Linked DNA regions of Rattus norvegicus. The protein of the gene in region 2 binds, or shares a complex with, the protein of the main gene of each other region. Links are inferred from orthologs where the notes say so. Each region holds a gene or a part of one and is shown on either strand. Other genes may lie near its edges.

Evidence for each region.
Region 1: the proteins of Gpaa1 (region 2) and Pigu are in contact, whole or in part, in a cryo-EM structure (PDB 8IMX), measured with the Homo sapiens proteins. The link is inferred for Rattus norvegicus from reciprocal best matches to the Homo sapiens genes GPAA1 and PIGU. Residues at the interface, in NP_003792.1 of Homo sapiens: Gln245, Leu310, Arg311, Arg313, Phe358, Leu359, Ile371, Ala389, Leu390, Trp393, His397, Leu500, Ile504, Leu508, Cys512, Leu515, Thr516; in NP_536724.1 of Homo sapiens: Tyr349, Ile355, Phe356, Cys360, Ile363, Val364, Leu367, Leu368, Val371, Leu372, Leu375, Ile377, Tyr378, Ala379, Gly380, Ser381, Phe386.

What each region holds. Positions count from the first base shown.
Region 1 is NC_086021.1:164,287,028-164,296,035, reverse strand, and holds part of Pigu (phosphatidylinositol glycan anchor biosynthesis class U protein precursor), read left to right. Parts: intron 1-316; coding exon 317-379; intron 380-3,984; coding exon 3,985-4,094; intron 4,095-7,100; coding exon 7,101-7,201; intron 7,202-9,008. UniProt on the Homo sapiens protein: Component of the glycosylphosphatidylinositol-anchor (GPI-anchor) transamidase (GPI-T) complex that catalyzes the formation of the linkage between a proprotein and a GPI-anchor and participates in GPI anchored protein biosynthesis.
Region 2 is NC_086025.1:109,929,034-109,938,489, reverse strand, and holds Gpaa1 (glycosylphosphatidylinositol anchor attachment 1 protein), read right to left. Parts: upstream 5,935-9,456; 5' UTR 5,857-5,934; coding exon 5,783-5,856; intron 5,346-5,782; coding exon 5,166-5,345; intron 5,084-5,165; coding exon 4,972-5,083; intron 4,760-4,971; coding exon 4,612-4,759; intron 4,535-4,611; coding exon 4,433-4,534; intron 4,345-4,432; coding exon 4,148-4,344; intron 4,075-4,147; coding exon 3,878-4,074; intron 3,790-3,877; coding exon 3,636-3,789; intron 3,467-3,635; coding exon 3,371-3,466; intron 3,235-3,370; coding exon 3,044-3,234; intron 2,958-3,043; coding exon 2,787-2,957; intron 2,669-2,786; coding exon 2,425-2,668; 3' UTR 2,351-2,424; downstream 1-2,350. Other genes in the region: Exosc4 (exosome complex component RRP41), read right to left, coding at 7,587-7,946, 8,047-8,253. UniProt on the Homo sapiens protein: Component of the glycosylphosphatidylinositol-anchor (GPI-anchor) transamidase (GPI-T) complex that catalyzes the formation of the linkage between a proprotein and a GPI-anchor and participates in GPI anchored protein biosynthesis. Binds GPI-anchor.

The DNA.
Region 1 (9,008 bases), on a different chromosome or scaffold from region 2:
ATCGTCTTTGCTTTGCTTTGCTTTGTCTGAGACAGAGTATCACTGGGTCACCTAGGCTGATCTTGACCTCATGAGAGCCCCAGCCTTCCGGGATCAGATGGATTAACTGCAGTGCCTGGCTTGTTTGCATTTAATTTGCTTTTCTAGAGATGTGGGCCACCAGACTGACTGGATAGTAGTCCAGGGCATCTGTTGTCCTATCTCCCTAAGTAAGCCTGGCCTCACTGAGTTAGGTACTGGGTAGTCAGTGCAGTACCATCCCGGAGTTCTTCAGTATCCTGGTTCTGTTTCCTATTACTCCTCTTTCTCTTGACAGATAACAGATGCCCTCACTGCTATTGCCCTGTATTTTGCAATTCAGGACTTCAATAAAGTTGTGGTAAGTCATTAGCGGGTAGGACAAAGCTGGTGGTATTTGGTAACTCACTTATGGCAAAGAATCAAAAGACATGTACTTTAAGATCCAACTATGTAAAAATGTTAAGAAATTAAGATGGCTCATTGGATTAAGGCCTTTGCTAGCAAGCCTCAGGTAAGTTCTGTCTCCAGGGAAGGAGAGAAATGATTACTGGAAGTCATCCTCTGATCTCTACTTATGTGCAGTGACACGTACACTACTACACACACAGACACATGTAGGCACACACACTTCAAGAAAGGAAGGAAGGAAGGAAGGGAGGGAGGGAAGGAGAGAGGAAAGGAGGAAGGAAAGAAAGAAGAAAGGAAAGAAGGAGAGAGAGAGAGAGAGAGAGAGAGAGAGAGAGAGAAGTGGCGTGTTTGTATTAGCTCACACCTGCAGTCCTGGCACTTGGGAGGCAAAGGCTGTATGAGAAGAGTAGGGTCATTCTCTGCTCTATACCAGTTTGTGGCTAGCCTGGGCTTAATGACATACTATCTAAATTAAATTTTATTTTATTTATTTTTATTTTAATTTTATTATTTTTGTGGGGGTATTTTGTGAGCAAGTATGGTTGTGTACCACACGTGCAGTGTCCTGGAGACCAGAAGATGTTGGATCCCCTGGAACTGAAGGGATAGAAGGTTGTGAGGCACCATATGGGTGCTGGGAATTAAACCCGGGTCTTGTGCATGAACAAGTGCTCTTAATCACTGCACTGTCTCTCCAGCCCCTAAAATAAACATGGAAAAGTCTTTCCTTTTTCAAAGGAAAAAAATGAATGTAGCCTTTAACTCACTGTATTAGGCCTCTTGAAGTAAAATTGGATTCCCATTGTTGATAAATCTGTTTTCCTTCAGACGGTAATTTGGGGGTTGGAGATTGAAAGCAGGGCCCTGGAAAATGCTAGGTAAGCACCATCCATCCCACCGAGCCGCACTCCCCAGCCCTAACAGAATAATCTCAATTAGAGAATTTGGCAGATTGGGCTGGCAAGATTGCCTAGTCAGTAAACATGCCTGCTGCCAGTCTTGGCAGCCTGAGCTCAGTCCCTGGAACCCACACGACAGAAGAAGAGAACTGACTCCAGCAAGTGACTTATGAGCTCCATAAGCACGCTGTGCTACGTGTGAGCTCCTGTGTACAAATAAATAGGGGAAAAAAGTATTGATATAAAGTTTACCCCTAATTATGTAATAGCCAAGGAGACTTACATCTTGGGACCATTCTCCTTGTCCAGGCTTCTGAGAGGACACATGTGTGCCTTGTACCTGCAGAGGTCTGGAGAGGGTGTTGGATACCCTGGACCTGGAGATACAGACAATTGAGTGTCACCATGTGGCCCCACAACTGAATTAAAATTCGAAGTGTTTTTGTTTCCCTATTTCCAGAGTTCAGATTATTATAACATTGGATCTCTTGGTTAGAGTGAGGTTGATCTACATTCTGTCACAAATGACCTCATTTTGAATGCCAGCTCTTTTGTTTTGTTTGTGTAGTGCTGGGGATCAACCCCACGGCCAGTGAGCCATCTCCCCAGCCTTTCTGTTGCTATGTTTTGAGGCAGGGTCTTGGTACAGAGCTCAAGTGGACCTAGAATTTGTGATCACCTTCATATGAACGCTGAAAGTAGCAGTCCACAGGACGATTGTACATACACTGCTCTGTTTCTCTCTTTTCAGTGAGTACGTAAGACCCAGGGTCCTGTGTATGTGAGGCAGTCTTCTACTGAGCGGTACTCTGTGCCTGCTTTATTTCATGTGTGCACTTGTGACGGCACACGTGCAAAGTACCACTTGCAGGGATTGGCTCTCTTCCTCCACCATGTTGGTCTCAGGGGCTGAGCTCAAGCTACTGTTGGACTTGATGGCAAGTTCCTTCACTTTCCCAGCTCTTTGCTGGCCCTGTTTGTTTTTTTAAACAGAGCCTCTGTATGTAGTTTATACTGGCCTTGAACTAGTGGCATAGCCCTAATAGGGCTATCTCCTGAGTGCTGGGAGGACAGGTGTGTGCACTATTACAGGTTTAGGTAGAATGTTAATGCATGTATTCCCGAAAGGCCCCACTTTGTAAAGGAGGAGGAGTCGTTCCTTCAGTATTATCACCACTGGTAAGTTGTTTATGCTCTAGTAAGTAGTGCCTCCCACTGGTCTCATGCAAATCACGCTAATTAAATTCAACTGCGCTCTCTCTCTCTCTCTCTCTCTCTCTCTCTCTCTCACACACACACACACACACACACACACAGAGAGAGAGAGAGAGAGAGAGAGAGAGAGAGAGGTTCTAGAAATCAGTGATTAAGAGCACTAATTGCTCTTCTAGAGAACTCAGGTTCAATTCCCAGCATCTACATGGCAGCTCACAACTGTTCAGAATTCCAGTTCAGGGGATCCAAAGCCCTCTTTTGATCTTTAGGGGCTTCAGGCATGCATGTTCACAGACATGTGCCAGCAAGACACCCATATACATAAAATAAAGTAGAGAGGGACATGTTGGGTTGGAGAGTACAGCAGGAGTGAGCGGTCGTTAAGAGAGCCCTGGGGGCTGGCTGTGGTTAAAATACTGTGTACATGTCTGACATATCAAAGGATAAATAAAGATTACATTTAAAAAGTCTCTCTTTGTTAAAAGGATCTTTATAGTCTGAGAACATTTGTCTTGGTAGGATTTGAGATTTTTGTCCCTGTAGTCTTGCATAGCATCCTGGAACACTGGTTCTGAGGGGACTCCACAACCAGCCCTCCTTTCCCATCAGCCTGAGGGACATGAATGCTGACCGACAGTAGCCAGTTGATTTTGGCAAAAGTAACATTAGTCTAATCTGTCCTTTTCTGCAATGATGTTTCTTTTTCGGAGCCCACATCCGAGACTCTGTTGGGATACAAGGGGGAACAAAGAGCTTTCCACCCCTGTGTGACTGCATCCTAGCTCTCTAGCTCCCCAGCCATTCCAGTCCCTGCCTTCATCATAATTCCTTTACACTCCTCCTTGCCAGTATAAAAGATCAAACAAACAAACCTTTGACAGAGGAATGAGGAAGGGAACCTGAGACACTGCGTCCGGATCCCTGAAACTGCTTAGACATGTTTTGCTGATGGAGCTTTTAAGCCCTGCCACCACTGATGGTACCTCCCAGAGTGACTAAGTGGCTTTTGCCATACGTTAGTCCATTCATTTGCCCCCTGTGCTAAGTGTTAGGCATACACAGAGAGCAAGTTAAATAACCCGAACCCTTGTGGAACTTACACTCTAGGGAGGACCCAGGCAGCGGTCAGAAGTGCTGAGAGTGTTTGTGGTAAAATGTGTATCCACACTAAAGGAGTGCACCCCTTCCTGGGAAGGGAAGGCGGAGCTGAAGTCTCACGGCTGTGTGGGAGTCAGCTGGGGAAGAGCTCTGGGGTCACGAGGAGCATTGCCTGTTCATGCACTGGGACTTGGGGTTAGGTGGGGGACTGAGAGTGAGGAGCCTGAAGAAGCAGAGCAGGACGGACTGTGGTGTGGACCAGGGCAAAGATTTTTGTCTTCATCCTGAAAGCAGTGGCAAATCATCTGTTTTGTGTGTCTTGTGCGTCCTCTCCCACCTCTAGTTTAAAAAGCAGAAACTTCTCCTAGAGCTGGACCAGTATGCCCCAGATGTGGCCGAACTCATCCGGACACCTATGGAAATGCGCTACATCCCTCTGAAAGTGGCCCTGTTGTGAGTACTCCCCCACAAATCAGGACTCAGTGCCAAGAAACGAAGGGAAATCCTGATGAGCCTCTGCCCATGTTGTAGTTGTAGAGATTTGCAGTCTTAGTCATCCAGTGTTTGCTGTACTTCTCTTGCACAACTGGGGTTTTGGCCAGCAAGAGCGACAGAGCCATTCTGTCTCTGTTGAGACAAAGACTCACACAGGGGCACGCACAGCCAAACCCTTCACAAAGGCCTTCTGACTCAGTGCTGGCCTGGACTCCAGCCTGATTAGAACTAGTGCTTCTAAAACATGGTAGTCCTTTATTAGTGGTGTCTTGAAAAAGATTTTGGTCTTTGTGTGCTGCTGTCTCACATAGTTTCTGTATTTTATGTATAATTAAGTTCCCTGTTTATAATTTAGAACACCGGGCTAGGTGACCAGCTTGGAAGAGTGGCAGTGGCTGACACTTTAAGAACGAATTCTCTGGGAGTAATTAATGCCCAGTGAGTATGATCCTTTCAGATCATTCTCATCTGTGTTTCTGAGATAGGCAAGATGAACTATTTAATCAGCCAGTAGTCACCAGATATAATAACATGCTAGTTTCTAGGAACACATACTAAACAAAACATACATTTCCTCATGGTAAAACATGCCCTTAGAATTTTTTAGAATTAGAAGCTGGATACGGTGTCACATGCTTGTGATCTCAGCCACAGGACCTAATGGAGGGAAGACAGAGTTTGAGGCTAATCTGTGCTATGTAGCAGTATTCTGTGGAGGGAGCCTGGTTAGAGGCATGCTTGCATAGCTTACAAGGTTTGATCCTCCGCACCAAATAAACTGGGCATGGTGGTGCTTGTCTGTAACCCTACCACTTGGGAAAAGGGCAGGAAGATCAGAGGTTCAAGGTCAGCCTTGGTGACCACTTAGGTATTCTGCGGGATGGTGTGGGGTACATCTTAGGAGCCTTTGCTCTGTGTATGAATTTCCTATTCAGTATTCCAGGTAGATGTCTAGACAGCTGCTTCTTTAGTGTCACCCCCTACTTAGAAAAGGTTTTGTGTTTTTTCTCCTATGAGATAATTTTGGCATATCTGTTCCCAACTCCATATTTCAGAAATTTGATGGGAAATACTTTAATAGGACCAAAAGTTTAGCAACATAATGAATCCTTATAGACTCTTGTATCCCCTGAGGGTAGTTTCATAATAGCAGCAGCCATTTCTTTAAAGGTTGTGTAACAAGTCTGATTGCTTGGAAAAACAAAAAACAAAAACCCACCAAACCCCCAAGAGTTTTTAGGCGTTTGGTTTTAGAACTACTAATCTTACATTCATAGGAAGTAGTATTAGACTTAAGGTCTTTACTTGGGAATAATTATTATAATCTTTTTCTAAGATAATCAGAATTATGTAACTAGCCTTTCTTCCTTTGTCTGGTGGGAAACTCAGTCAGGTCTGAGGTTGTTACTGTCCAGCTGTAGGCCTATCTGAAGCTGTTATTGTCCAGCTGTAGACCTGTCTGAGGCTGTTATTGTCCAGCTGTAGACCTGTCTGAAGCTGTTATTGTCTAGCTGTAGGCCTGTCTGAGGCTGTTATTGTCCAGCTGTAGACCTGTCTGAGGTTGTTATTGTCCAGCTGTAGACCTGTCTGAGGTTGTTATTGTCCAGCTGTAGACCTGTCTGAGGTTGTTACTGTCCAGCTGTAGACCTGTCTGAAGTTGTTACTGTCCAGCTGTAGACCTGTCTGAGGTTGTTACTGTCCAGCTGTAGGCCTGTCTGAGGTTGTTACTGTCCAGCTGTAGGCCTGTCTGAGTTGTTATTGTCCAGCTGTAGACCTGTCTGAGGTTGTTATTGTCCAGCTGTAGGCCTGTCTGAGGTTGGTTACTGTCCAGCTGTAGGCCTGTCCAAGGTTATTACTGTCCAGCTGTAGGCCTGTCTGAGGTTGTTACTGTACAACTGTAGGCCTGTCTGAGGTTGGTTACTGTACAGCTGTAGACTTGTCTGAGGCTGTTATTGTCCAGCTGTAGCTCTTTGGTTTTCTTAGCTTTGTGTTCTATTTTCTTCTTATATATTTCCCCTGGTCTTGATTACGGCTGGTTTTACTTTACTATTATTTTTGTTATTTATTTTCATTTTAGGTGGTGCAGATTTTTTTGTAGAAGCAGGACAGAAATAAAGAGAATCCATTTTGACTGTGTAAGACTTTCCAACACTTTAGATTTATTTTCTGATTCCATTCCTTCCCACCTTAGCAGGGAAAGACTCCAGTTTAACTCTTTCATAATGGGAGGTCAAGATGTCCTGTGAAGTTCTGTGCCAACTAACTTGTAGAATTAGGAGGATACTTTGTTTGTGGGTCTGGCTCAGGAGTCAGTACTGCTTGACTATCAGGAGGGCTTATTAAAAGAATGCTGGCTTTAGAACCAGGAAGACTTGATTTTTTGAGTATATTTAATAGCTTTAAAAGCTTGGACTAGTTATTTAATCAGTGAGTCTCAGTTTCCTCATCTACAAAAGCAGGATAATGTTGCTGGCCGGGTGGTACACACTTGAGATCCCAGCACTGACAAGGTGGAAGCCAGAAGGTGGGAATGCAGGGTCATCACTAGTTCAAGGCTGGCTTGTGCCACATGAGACCAAAAAACCACACAACGGTGTAAAAGAAAACACTAAAAACAGAATAAAAGCTAGAAAATTTTTGCTGTTTATAGGATCTTTAATAGAAACATGACAGCTTTGCATATATTATATATGATTTTGCTAAGTGCCTTTATTTATCCTCTTTATTTATCCTCTTCTGTTTGGGATGCTTGGCTAAGAAGTGAGTTGAGGGTCTGGGGATTTAGCTCAGTGGTAGAGCGCTTACCTAGGAAGCGCAAGGCCCTGGGTTCGGTCCCCAGCTCCGAAAAAAAGAACCAAAAAAAAAAAAAAAAAAAAGAAGTGAGTTGAACTTCAAGGTTGTGGTAGCCAGGGCCCTGGCCCACTGATGAGATTTGCTAATGACAGATCTATGTGTTTTCCCTAGCTATCTCCTGAATCCCTACACGATCTTGTCTTGTGTTGCCAAGTCTACCTGCGCCATCAACAACACCCTCATTGCTTTCTTCATTTTGACCACAATAAAAGGTAAGGCATTTCAGAAGAATATAAGAGATGCAGGGTTTTATTACACGCATGCACAAGCTGACACGATAGCACATACTTATTATCACATCTGGGAGGCTGAGACAGAAGGATCTGGAATTCAAGGCCAGCCTTTACTATATAGCAAAAACTTGTCTCAAAAAGAAAAAAAATACATTTAAAAATTATGTACAAATAACATAAGATTATTATAGAAAATTTAGATAAACAAAGAGAAAAAAGGTAAAGTTCTAAAAATCTACCACTCAGAGAATCACTGTTGACATAATTTTTCAAGAGTTCCAAACAAGTTCTACGAGAATGTCAGTCTTCTGTAACTGCAGTCCAGCTTCGTTTCTGTTGACTCTCATTCTGTACATGCGGGTCAGGAAGAAGGAAAAATCAATCCTGACTGTAAGATGTGAAGGCCGGTCTTTGCTGTTGTGAGTCAGGCTAAGGGAGGATGACTTTGAACTACTGATCCTCCTGCCTCCACCTCCCAAGTACCGGTGTCACAGGCTTGAGCCCTCGCCTCCGCCTAGTCCTTTGGAGGAATACTTTACTATTCTTACTTCTGTGTTTCTGAACCATGTAGTTACCTTACGATGAATGATAACGTTTCAGGCATTGTTAATCACGCTCCATGATGAGAAGTGGAGATTTCTCGTAGGACTTTTGTAGCAATATTTCTGCCTCCTCTTTGTTTGATTTTCTTCTATCTCAGTCTTGATGAAATCAGTAGTCGGGCTGAGAGTGTGACTTGGTGTTAGTATGCATTTAGCATGTGTGGATAAGCTCTTGCTTTACACTCTAGCACCAATAAGTAAACAAATCTGTGGTCAGAACTCACATTTCACGGCACTGTATGTTACTCACTGCTGGGCAAGGTAGCAACCATTATCACTTTTATTTTCTATTACTACTTTTGCTTTTTTCTATGTGATTGCTCTAGTCTTATGCCGTGTCTTATTTTTCCTGGAATAGTTCTTGTTTTGCTTTTACTCTTATCTGTTATACTATGTGTATGTATGATATGTTTGTAGGGACACACATGCCATGGCTCATGTGTGTATGGTAGAGGACTCTAACTTTGGTTAGTTCTCTCCTTCTACTTTTTTGTGGATTCTGGGGTGGAATTTAGGTCATCAGTTTTTCACAGACGCCTTTCCCCATTGAGGCGTCTTGCTTGCTTGCTTGTTGTTTTGAGACAGTGTCTCACGATGCAGGCCTGGCTGGCCCAGAACTCAGTATGTAGACTAGGCTGGCCTTGAACTCTCAGAGATCCGCCTGCCTCTACCTCTCAAGTGCTGGGATTGTAGGTATGTGTCACCATTGATTGTTGAGCCATCTCTCTAGCCCCTAAATGTACATTTTTGTTTCTTTGAGACAGGGTCTCACTTTGCAGCCTAGGTTGGTCTGGAACTCAATTTGTAGCCCATACTGCCCTTACAGTGCCTTTTTATCTACCCAGTGCTGGAGTTATAGCTGTTTGTCACTATACCCAGTTTTTAAAAATTGGGGCACGGAGCCTGGAAAGATGGCTCAGCAATTAAGAGCATTGGCTGCTCTTTCAGAGAACCTGAGCTGGATTCCCAGCACCTACATGGTGTCTTCACAACCATCTGTAACTCCAGCCCTAATGGATCCAGTGTTCTCTCCTGAGCCTTACGGGCACTGTATACACGTGGTATACAGACATATACAGGCACAGGCAGAGGACCCATACATATAACATAAAAATAAAGGTTAACACCTTATAAAGACTATTTTTTAGAATCTATTCTTGGTGGTTTAATGCTAGTTTTACTAA
Region 2 (9,456 bases):
TGAATGTGCTCTTTCCGTCCTTCTAGCTGTGACAGAATGGCATCATGGCAGTATCTACTGAGAGGACCTAGGAGTTTCATGCAGGGTGACCTGCTCACATCCAAGTTGGACTTGGTGACTAGGAAAGCCAAAATGGAATGCCAGAGAACAAGTATAAATGTCAGCCCCCCAAATGACACATTTAGGACTTTACACCTATTTCTGTCACAACTCCTTACACCTTTATAATCTGTGTCGTCACATACACAGACCAGGCTCAAAACACTCCTGAATCAGGCTGTATGCTAGGATTACAGACATGAGACATCATACCTTGTTTTTGTTTTGTTTTGACAATGTTCCCCTATGTTGCCCAGACTTGCCTCAAACTACAAGGCTCATGTAATCCTCAAGGCCTTCCAGACAGCCGGGACCATATGCACACACCATCTTGCCCACCCACTGCTCCCCCTTTTGTTTATTGACTGTGTAACCTAGACAGGTCTCAAACTCGTGGTCCCCCTGCTTCTGCCTCAAAGAGGGGTAGGATTATTATAGTCATGTTGCTATGCCTAGTTACCTCGCATTTTGAAAAATGTACACATTAGTGAAAATTAAGACAAATGCCACCTCAACAATATTTTCCCCACCATTCCTTCTTAATATTCATGTAGATGAAAAATGCTGGATACATTCAGGACATGTGAAATGACTGTTTACCTTTCTTCCTGTGTATTCCCCCAAATACACACACACACACACACACACACACACACACACACACACACACACACATATATCTCCACTTGAGTTTTAAGTGACTGCTACAGTTCTGTTAAAAACTGTTAAGGCCAAAGACCAGCCACAATGCAGGGAGGGAAATTTTGTACTAGATGGGCCTAAAGGGGCAAAGACTGGAACTCAGTGGCAGGGCTACTTGCCTCAGCGGCTTCCATATAGTCCCTCCATGTGTAAGCCTACCAGGTAAGCCAGTTGTCTCTTTGGGGACCCACAAAGAAACTTTTAAAGTTATTTTGTGTGTATGTGTATATGCATGTCAGGGTGCGTGTGTGCTGAGGACTTGTGGGAGTTAGCCCTCTTTACGCTGTGTGAGTACCAGGATCAAAGACAGGCCGTCCGACCTGACAGCAGGTGCTCTCACCTATGGTGCCATCGCTCTTGGCTCAGAGTGAGATTCTTTGAAACCACCAAGGGCCAAGAGGAACCAACTCACAGGAAGCTGGGAACCATCAGAGGCGTCCCAGGAAGGTCCCCTGGCCCTAAGTTGATTCTAATGAATTTTTTATCTTCCTTGGGCCTCCCTTCCAAGCACTGAAGCCACTACTGGGCAGTGTAAAGGCACCTCCAGACCTGTTTCTTTTCTTTTCATTTTTAAAAAAACATTTTATTTACTTTACGTATGTGAGTACACTGTAGCTGTCTTCAGACACACCAGAAGAGGCGATCAGATCTCATTATAGAGAGTTCTGAGCTACCATGTGGTTGCTGGGAATTGAACTCAGGACCTCTGGAAGAGCAGTCAGTGCTCTTAACCACTGAGCCATCTCTCCAGCTACTCTTTTCGTTTTTTAAAGTGTCTTTGGTCAAGGCCTTGTGGCCATCCCATGATGTGTCTCCAGACTAGTCACCAAAGTTTCTGACGTGGTCCTAACTTGTTAGAAAGAGCCATACTTCTTTTTCTTGGGATCCTGTCACAACCTGCTTCCTTCTGTGCTGGCTCGCCAGTGTTGCCCTGCTTTGGGGCTCTTTTCTCTCTCAGCCTATTGCTTCTGGGTGCTGGCGAGACTAGAGTCCTACCTTTTCCTACTATGTAGAGTTCTACCTCTAGTGGGCACCTTGCCTTGGCTTGTGCTACTTGAAGTAAGTGGAGCCTTATACTTCTTCTACTCCATATGAAGCCCACAGTAAAGTTCTAGCCTTGGCTAGAAACAGAGTCCAAACCCTGAACATCCTAAGAGGTTCCTTTGTCCTTTCAGTCAGAACTGAAGATGGAGTTGTGAGGTCCCCAAGGACCACAGCTACTGCTGGCCCTCAAACCCTGGCTGCAGATTATCTCATCTAGCACCAGAATCGCTTCTAGCATAGCACTGGACAGCACTGCATACATACATGGGCCTGCCTACCTGCAGGCCACCTGCAGGACTGCATGGAGAGCTGGGAATGGGTTTACACTTGCCCTTCAGTGTCTAACTGAGGCTCTCCTCCAGACGTTGATGGGGCCAGACCCCCACGTCTGCTACCAGGAGAGAAACACCTGAGAATTCAAACAGGGTGGATCCTTCAAAGAGGTGAGTGGGTGCCAAGCAGCTTGCCAGGGGCGCCGAAAAGACAGTGGGCCAGGATCCCAAAGTACAGAAACAGAGCACTTGTTTATTTTCCAGGGAGGAGGTAGAATGGAGGCTTGGGGTTCCCTTCCCAGAGACCTCACTTCCAGAAGAGAACATTCCAGAAGAGCAGCCAGCAAGGATACAGACCCAAGGCCAGTATTGGGAAGAGGAGGGCACCATAGGTGTAGTGTTCCAGCACACCCTGGGCCAAGGCAGTCAGGAAGAGCTGCCAACCCTCTGCCAGAGACAGTGGTACCTCCTGGAGCTCCCGCCACAGGAATAGGCTACCGAAGAGTGTGACTGCTGGGCTGGTCACTACCAGCAGGGCAGCATAGAGTGTCCTGGTGGGCAGAAGGGCGACATTTAAGTATGCACCACAGTGGATGCCAGCAAGTGAATAAATGAGGGTTAAGCCTGGTGAGGGGCAAAGATACTGCTAAGAGGTTGACCAGCACGTACCGGGGTCCGTGGGGCTTCGTGAGTGCAGCAGCAGGTACCATGGTGGCAGCCAGCAGGAAGCCCAGGGAGAAATTGAGGAGAGCAATGCAACCCAGCTGCAGTGCCAAGTAGATCAGGGCCACCAGTTTCAGCGCCATCCAGCCCCGGTCTGGGACCTGTGAGCTGACCACTCTACAAGGTAAGAGGTTCAAGGGCAGTCCAGAATCCACCAAAGTGTCCAGGGGGCCCACCTCCACGTGCCCAGCCCAGCAGCTCACCGGTGGGTGTTGTGTGGCAGGGCTAGGCCGGCTACATAAATCGCTAGCAGTGTCAACACGACAGCCTCAGCTTCAGCCACTGGGAAATGCTGGGCAGCTACATGTTGGCCCAGCACAGGTAGGAAATAGAGGGCCAAACCCATGGCCTGAGAGATCAGCAAGGGCGCCATAAGTGAGGCCAGGCTCACGCTCTGCAAAGTACATGGGTACCTGGAATCAGGCCAGAGGCCTAGGGGAACCTGAAGGACTCACACTGAGGGTTGACCACAGGAAGCACTGCTGGGGACGCTGAGAACCCATCCTAAGAGCAGTGGAGTATGACGTCACCTGTGTTGCCAAGGGTGGAGAGCCGGGGCCAGGGGCCTTCCCAGCCTCCTCAGGGTTCACTCCAGCCTCGTGTAACTGCATCCATAGCTCGAGAGCTTAGACTAAGTCAAGGACCTCGACAAGAATTGGATGGGACCTGCTAGATGGGAGATCATAGGCTCGCTGCCACACCGCTACAGTAGGAATGAAGGACTAACCCCACTTTACAGTTAAAGGGATCTGAGTTTGGCCACAAGTGAGTATCGAGAACGAGGGTGGAGGATATCTTGAGTCCAAGGACCAGGAGCAGGAAGCCTGTGGCGGGCATGTAGAGTCCAATGGACACGAAGCGGGAGAGGGCGGGCAGTAGGTAGAAGAAGAACGACTGGTGCAAGCGCTCCAGGAGGTGGTTGAGCTTTCGGAACATGCCCTCCAGAGCCCTGTCAGGAGCACAGTCAGGTCAGGGCCAGCCCTCCTCTCATCCCAGCTAGATACCGCCTCGAACACGGAGAGGGTCCAGAGACTTACTTGCCCACTGCCACCAAATCATACTTGTATTGGCGGAAGCTGTTGATGCCACGTAGGGTTAGGGCCTCCACTCCGTAGCGCAGGAAGAGGCCATGGGGGCCATGGGGCCGGCCAGAGGCCTGCCGCAGCACCATGAGAAGCAGTGTCTGCAGGCCCTGCAGAGGCCCTTCCAGTGATGTCCAGTCCTGGGGCTGCAGCTTTGGAGGCATGGGGACAGGATCAGACTCACCCCGTCTCATAGGCCCCAGGCTCCCAAGCAGGTGGTCCCACCTTGCCCTGGAGTGTGCACAACAGCCCCCCTTTCTGGCAGAAGGTCTGGAAGAGGTTGAGCAGATCAAGGTTGGGCAGCTGACCGTTGAGTCCCTCCACGGTCACGTCGAGGCTGGTGACTACATCACTGCTCAGCTCCAGGGCCACAGCGGCCTGGATGGCACCAGCCCTGCCCTGCAGGGGAGATGACTGTATGCCTGTAGGAGCAAGCAGTGAGCACTGGAGTGGGGTACAAAGTGACGACAGCTGACCCTGAAAGAGGAGCGAGACTAGTGTAACACGTACCTGTAACATTAATGTCATGGTAGGCCTCAAGCCAAGCCTCAGTGCCCAGAAGATCATGTTCTGTTACCAGGAAAATTATATCTTTGGCCCAGTAAATCTGCCCTGGAAACCAGAGGCAGGGTCAGCAAGGGCCTGGGGCATTGGTCAAACCCTCCCTGACCAGAGCCCCAGAGCCTCACCTCGGAAATGGGCAGCGAGTGCCAACAACAACCCCACAGCCTGGCTATTGGTGGTGTCTGGACCACAGGGTACAGTGAGTACCAGGGACTCGGTACTGGCAGCACGTGGGGCCCGCAGGATGCCATACACATTGGTACCCGAGACCATCTGCACAAAGTGTTAATGGGAAAGCCTCAGCAGACCTTACAGAAGACAGGCTGAAACCTGCCTTCTTTCCTGGCACTACAATGCCCACCACCAGAGATCTTCAGACCGTCCCTCCCAGAATTTCTTGGTTCCGGGGCACTTCAACAAGATGCCCAACCCAGGCCACCCTTCCAATGTACTTTTCTCCCAGGCACACCCATTTCCCTCAATACATAGCGCTCATGGGTCTCATCCGGGAAGGGTAGTTTGCGGGAGAAGCTCTGAGTGTAGACCTCCAGTCCTACGGATCGCATCGCCCTTTCCAGCCAGGCTACTGGCAGAGCCCTGGAGACACAAAGATAGCCTCAGGTAGAGCTCCATGGTCTCGGCCACACGTGAAATCCCCAGCTCGCTGATAGGCACTCACCCTGGCTTCTTGCGGTGGGCAGCAAAGTCCCGGGCGAAGTTGCGGGCACGGTCTCCACCTACAAACTGCTCCTCCACCATGGTGGAGCCCATGGCATTCTCAGACATATAAGTGCGCTGGGTTAGCGGCGGAAAAGCCAGCGCCAAAAACCAGGCGATGCCAGCTACGTAGCTCAGCACACTGCGAGAGAGTACAGAGGACAGGAATTAGCCCGACCTGGAACGCTCACTCGTGGTTTCCATCATGTCCCAGAGGGTCCAGCTGGATGGTCCAAGACATTAAGAACCCGGAGCCGAAGACGGGCAGTGGCGGTACACGCCGTTAATCCTAGCATTCAGGAGACAGAGGCGGGCGCAGGCAGATCTCTGAGTTCGAGGCCAGTCTGGTCTACAGAGGGAATTCCAGAATAACCAAGGCTACACTGAGAAATCCTGCCTCCGGAAGAAAAAAAACCCAAAAACCCGAGACGTTATATTAGGAATGGATAGGGATCAGAGCTCCAAGCTCAGTGCCTGAGTGACATTTGCAAGGAGGGCGCAGATCCTGGAGCAGTAGGCGCGAGTGGAACTACAGCAGTTCATGTTCCCGCGAGTCCCGCCCCCTATACCCGCCCTCACCATAGAGGAGTGTTGAGGCGCAAGACGATGCGGGCGAGCGCGCGCCGGCGCACCGGGTCCGACAGGAGACCCATGGCGGGGCGCGGGGCTCAGCTCTCGCCGCAGCTTGACACCTCCAAGCGCAGGGTTCCTGTCAGACCCGGCGCCCCGTGCTGCCTTTATTTCCGGTCCCAGGATCCGTCGCGCCACTACGCTTGGTAGCGTAGGGGCAGATGTCGTTGGAAACCACATTCTGCGCATGCTCAGTATTGCAGTAGGCTGGAGAAATACAGGATGCTGTCACGGCCAGTGGGCGGAACTGGAACCTGAGGTTGTGAAGCTGCGGGCAAACAGCTGGAAGGGCAAGACACTGGCCGAACTCAAGACAGAACAGCAATAGCGTGCCTGCCTAAAGGTTCTTCTCGGGAGTGTGTGACACAGGTGGGTACGGAGCTGGAACAGCGAAAAGACTGTTGCCTGCTGAAGTGAGATATTGAATGACTGTTATAGCTATGACTTAAGGGCCCCCATGTGAACTGAGGATCCGTTGTTGAATCATTTCTATGGATGTCATGAACCTTAAGTCAGTGGGCTGACTAGCACAGTGGGCGAGTTGGTGGCCAGAGGAGAGGGGTAGTGGTGGGTCAGAGGAGTTTTTCTAAGAGGGTCCAGAGGTAAGGGTCTAAGAATAAATGGCCAAGGGGCTGGGTGATTTAGCTCAGTGGTAGAGCGCTTACCTAGGAAGCGCAAGGCCCTGGGTTCGGTCCCCAGCTCCGAAAAAAAGAACCAAAAAAAAAAAAAAAAAAAAAAAAAGAATAAATGGCCAAGAGGCAACAAAGGTTTGATATCCTTCTAGAGCCCAAAGAGGCAAGAAAGGCCCAAGGAAAAACATTAATCCAGTGGTTCTTAACATTCTACTTTTAATAGAGTTTCTCATGTTGTGGTGAACCCCAACCATAAAATTATTTTGCTGATACTCCATAACTAATTTTGCTGTTATGTCATAGTGTAAATATCGGATTTGCAGGATATCGGATAGGAGACCTCAAAGGGGTTGTGACCCACAAGTTGAGAACCATTGCATTAGTCTAACCTTACATCTCTTGATGAGCACACATAGCCACCTCAGCCTTGCACTCATGTCTCTGAAGAGTTGTGTAAGCAAGGCACATTCCTTAGTCTGAGGGCATGAGTGAGGAACACAAGTGATGGGAGAAAGCGGACTCCATTTTGAGCCTGCTTGTCCCTTGTTTGAACTGCGATTAATAGAAATATCATAAACAATCCAGGAAGAAACTGCCCTGGGCTAGAGCCAATCAGAGAAATAGAGGGAAAGTGTCTAAAATTCCAAAGGTTACAGATAAATTGCTCATCATTGACCAATCCTTGTGCACCAAGATACCCCTTGCCAAATAAGGCAACTGACAGGCTGGAGACCCCCTCCCTGCTCAACCCTTGCTAAGTAAGGCAATCGCTATGCTGGAGACCCCCGTTCCCTGCTCAAACTAGTATAAAAACCTTGCCTAAATGAGGTTCAAGGTCTCAGCACAAATCTGATGCTTGGAGGATTCTGAGGGTCCAAGCTTAAGTGTGAATAAAGGCTTTGCTTTTGCATACAAATCCAGACCCCTGGTGGTCTTTGTGGACCCTGATATCTGGGCAGGCACAGCATGAGCACTCTTGCTCTTCCTAGCACAAGTGTTCTCTCCACTTAGGGACTGCAGTACAAACTGCTATGTAGGGCCCTGAGCTGCTTTGAAGTGCTGTACATTACAGTGTGTTCAGGAGAGGAACAGGCCTTTATTCTGGATATGGGGGGTTGGCCTCAGTCCCCCAGTAAGATAGAGGCCTCCTGCACATGCTGCCGGACAACACGATCCAGCAGAGTGTGCACATCCCGGGCTGCCTGGGCAGCAGCCTCGAGCACCTGCTCCAAGTGGTCTTCATGCAACCTCGAATCCATCTCAAGCAGTGCAATCTGGCCAGAGGCTGGCAGCAGGGCCAGGGCTAGCTGGGGCCCGCCAGCTGCTTCCTCCACGTGACTGAGGTCCGCTAGTGCTGTGCCATCCACAAAACCAGCCGAACATGCACACACAAAGTCCCGCATGGGTATCCCAGCATCCATCACTGCTAGCGTGGCTGCATTCACACATGCTGCATAGGTCCCACCGTCTGCTTGTAGCACCTGCAGGGGGCATCAGGACATCAGACATCTCATCCTCCAGCATCTCAGGCAGACCTCATCCCCTTAAGCCCCGCCCCCGGGGGAGTGGTTTGAGGCTCACCTGCACATAAATGTCTATCTGAGAACGTGGGTGCAGCTGTGTGAGGATAGCTGCCTCGAAGGTCTGGCGTAGCTGCAGCCCCATCTCACAAGACTTCCGGTCTCCATGAGGCCTTCGCTTGCGCTCACCTGTGCTGAAGGTTGCTGAACTGTACTGACAGTTCACTAGAGCCCGGTCAGGCAGAGCCCGTGACCGGGAGCCCCGGATCTGGAGGAAAAAAGAAGGAATGAGCCAGGGCCGCCTACCTCCTGGGTCACACTCGATGGCTCAGCCTTCCTCCTCTTCTTTCTAAAGTGCTTCAGAAAGCAGCAGCTACTTTGGTTCCAAACCATGGCAGGCGGTTTAGGGCTACACTTCGGTCTAAGCCGCACCACTGTCACCTTCCGCAAAAAAAACCCCTTTGTTCTTTAGTTGCTCCATTTCTTCCTAAATCATTCCCATCGTGGTCACCATGTTTACAAACATGTGATTTGACTGTGTCACCCACACACTAATATTTTACTTACCTTCCAGAAGCTTCTCATTACATGTAAAAGAAAATCTCAATTTCCCCGACCTTCAAAGCCCTGGGTCCTCATCTCCTTGGTTAACCACTCAACTTTATTTGATCTACTGTCCCTCGGTCTACCAGTAGTCTGGCCTAATGTGTTCTAGACCTGACCTGGCTTCCACCTAGAAAGCTGAGCAAATTGCTAGCAAACCTTAAAATGTGGGCTCATTGGTTAAGAGCACTGACTGCTCTTCCAGAGGTCCTGAGTTCAAATCCCAGCGACCACATGGTGGCTCACAACCATCTGTAATGGGATCTGATGCCATTCTGGTGTGTCTAAAAGACAGTGACAGTGTACTTATATATAATAAACAAATAACAAACAAACAAAAAAACCCTTAAAATGTGCATGTTTGCCGGCCTTGCTACACCACTGAGACAAAGCAGCAAAGGCAGGCAATTTATAATGTCTCTGTCTTGGGAGTTTACATTCCAGTAGAGAGACAAGAGACATGGAAGACTGAGGAAAATCGATGTAGCAGGGGCAGAAATAGCCTGGGAGGCCTTTTCCGGACAAGATGTCAAAACACTGGACTGAAAGAACAGGGACTGAGTGTAGCTTTGCCAGGATGTATGAGGCACCTCAGAGATGAAGAGGGCAGCCCAGGAGAAAAGAGGCCCACTGAGACGGAGGAGTTAAGCAGTAAGACTCATGTCCACTCCCACGATGTGCAGCCATGAGCCCCCAGTCCCTGCATGAGACAATCATAGTAGTTGTGGACAATCTGAAGCAGCCCCATATCCCACCCGTGGGATTAAAACAAAAACATAATCACATAACATAACTGGGTTCTTAAAGAAACCAATATTCTCAGTTCATCATGGGACCTAATACTTATACAAATTTGAGGGCCATGTTA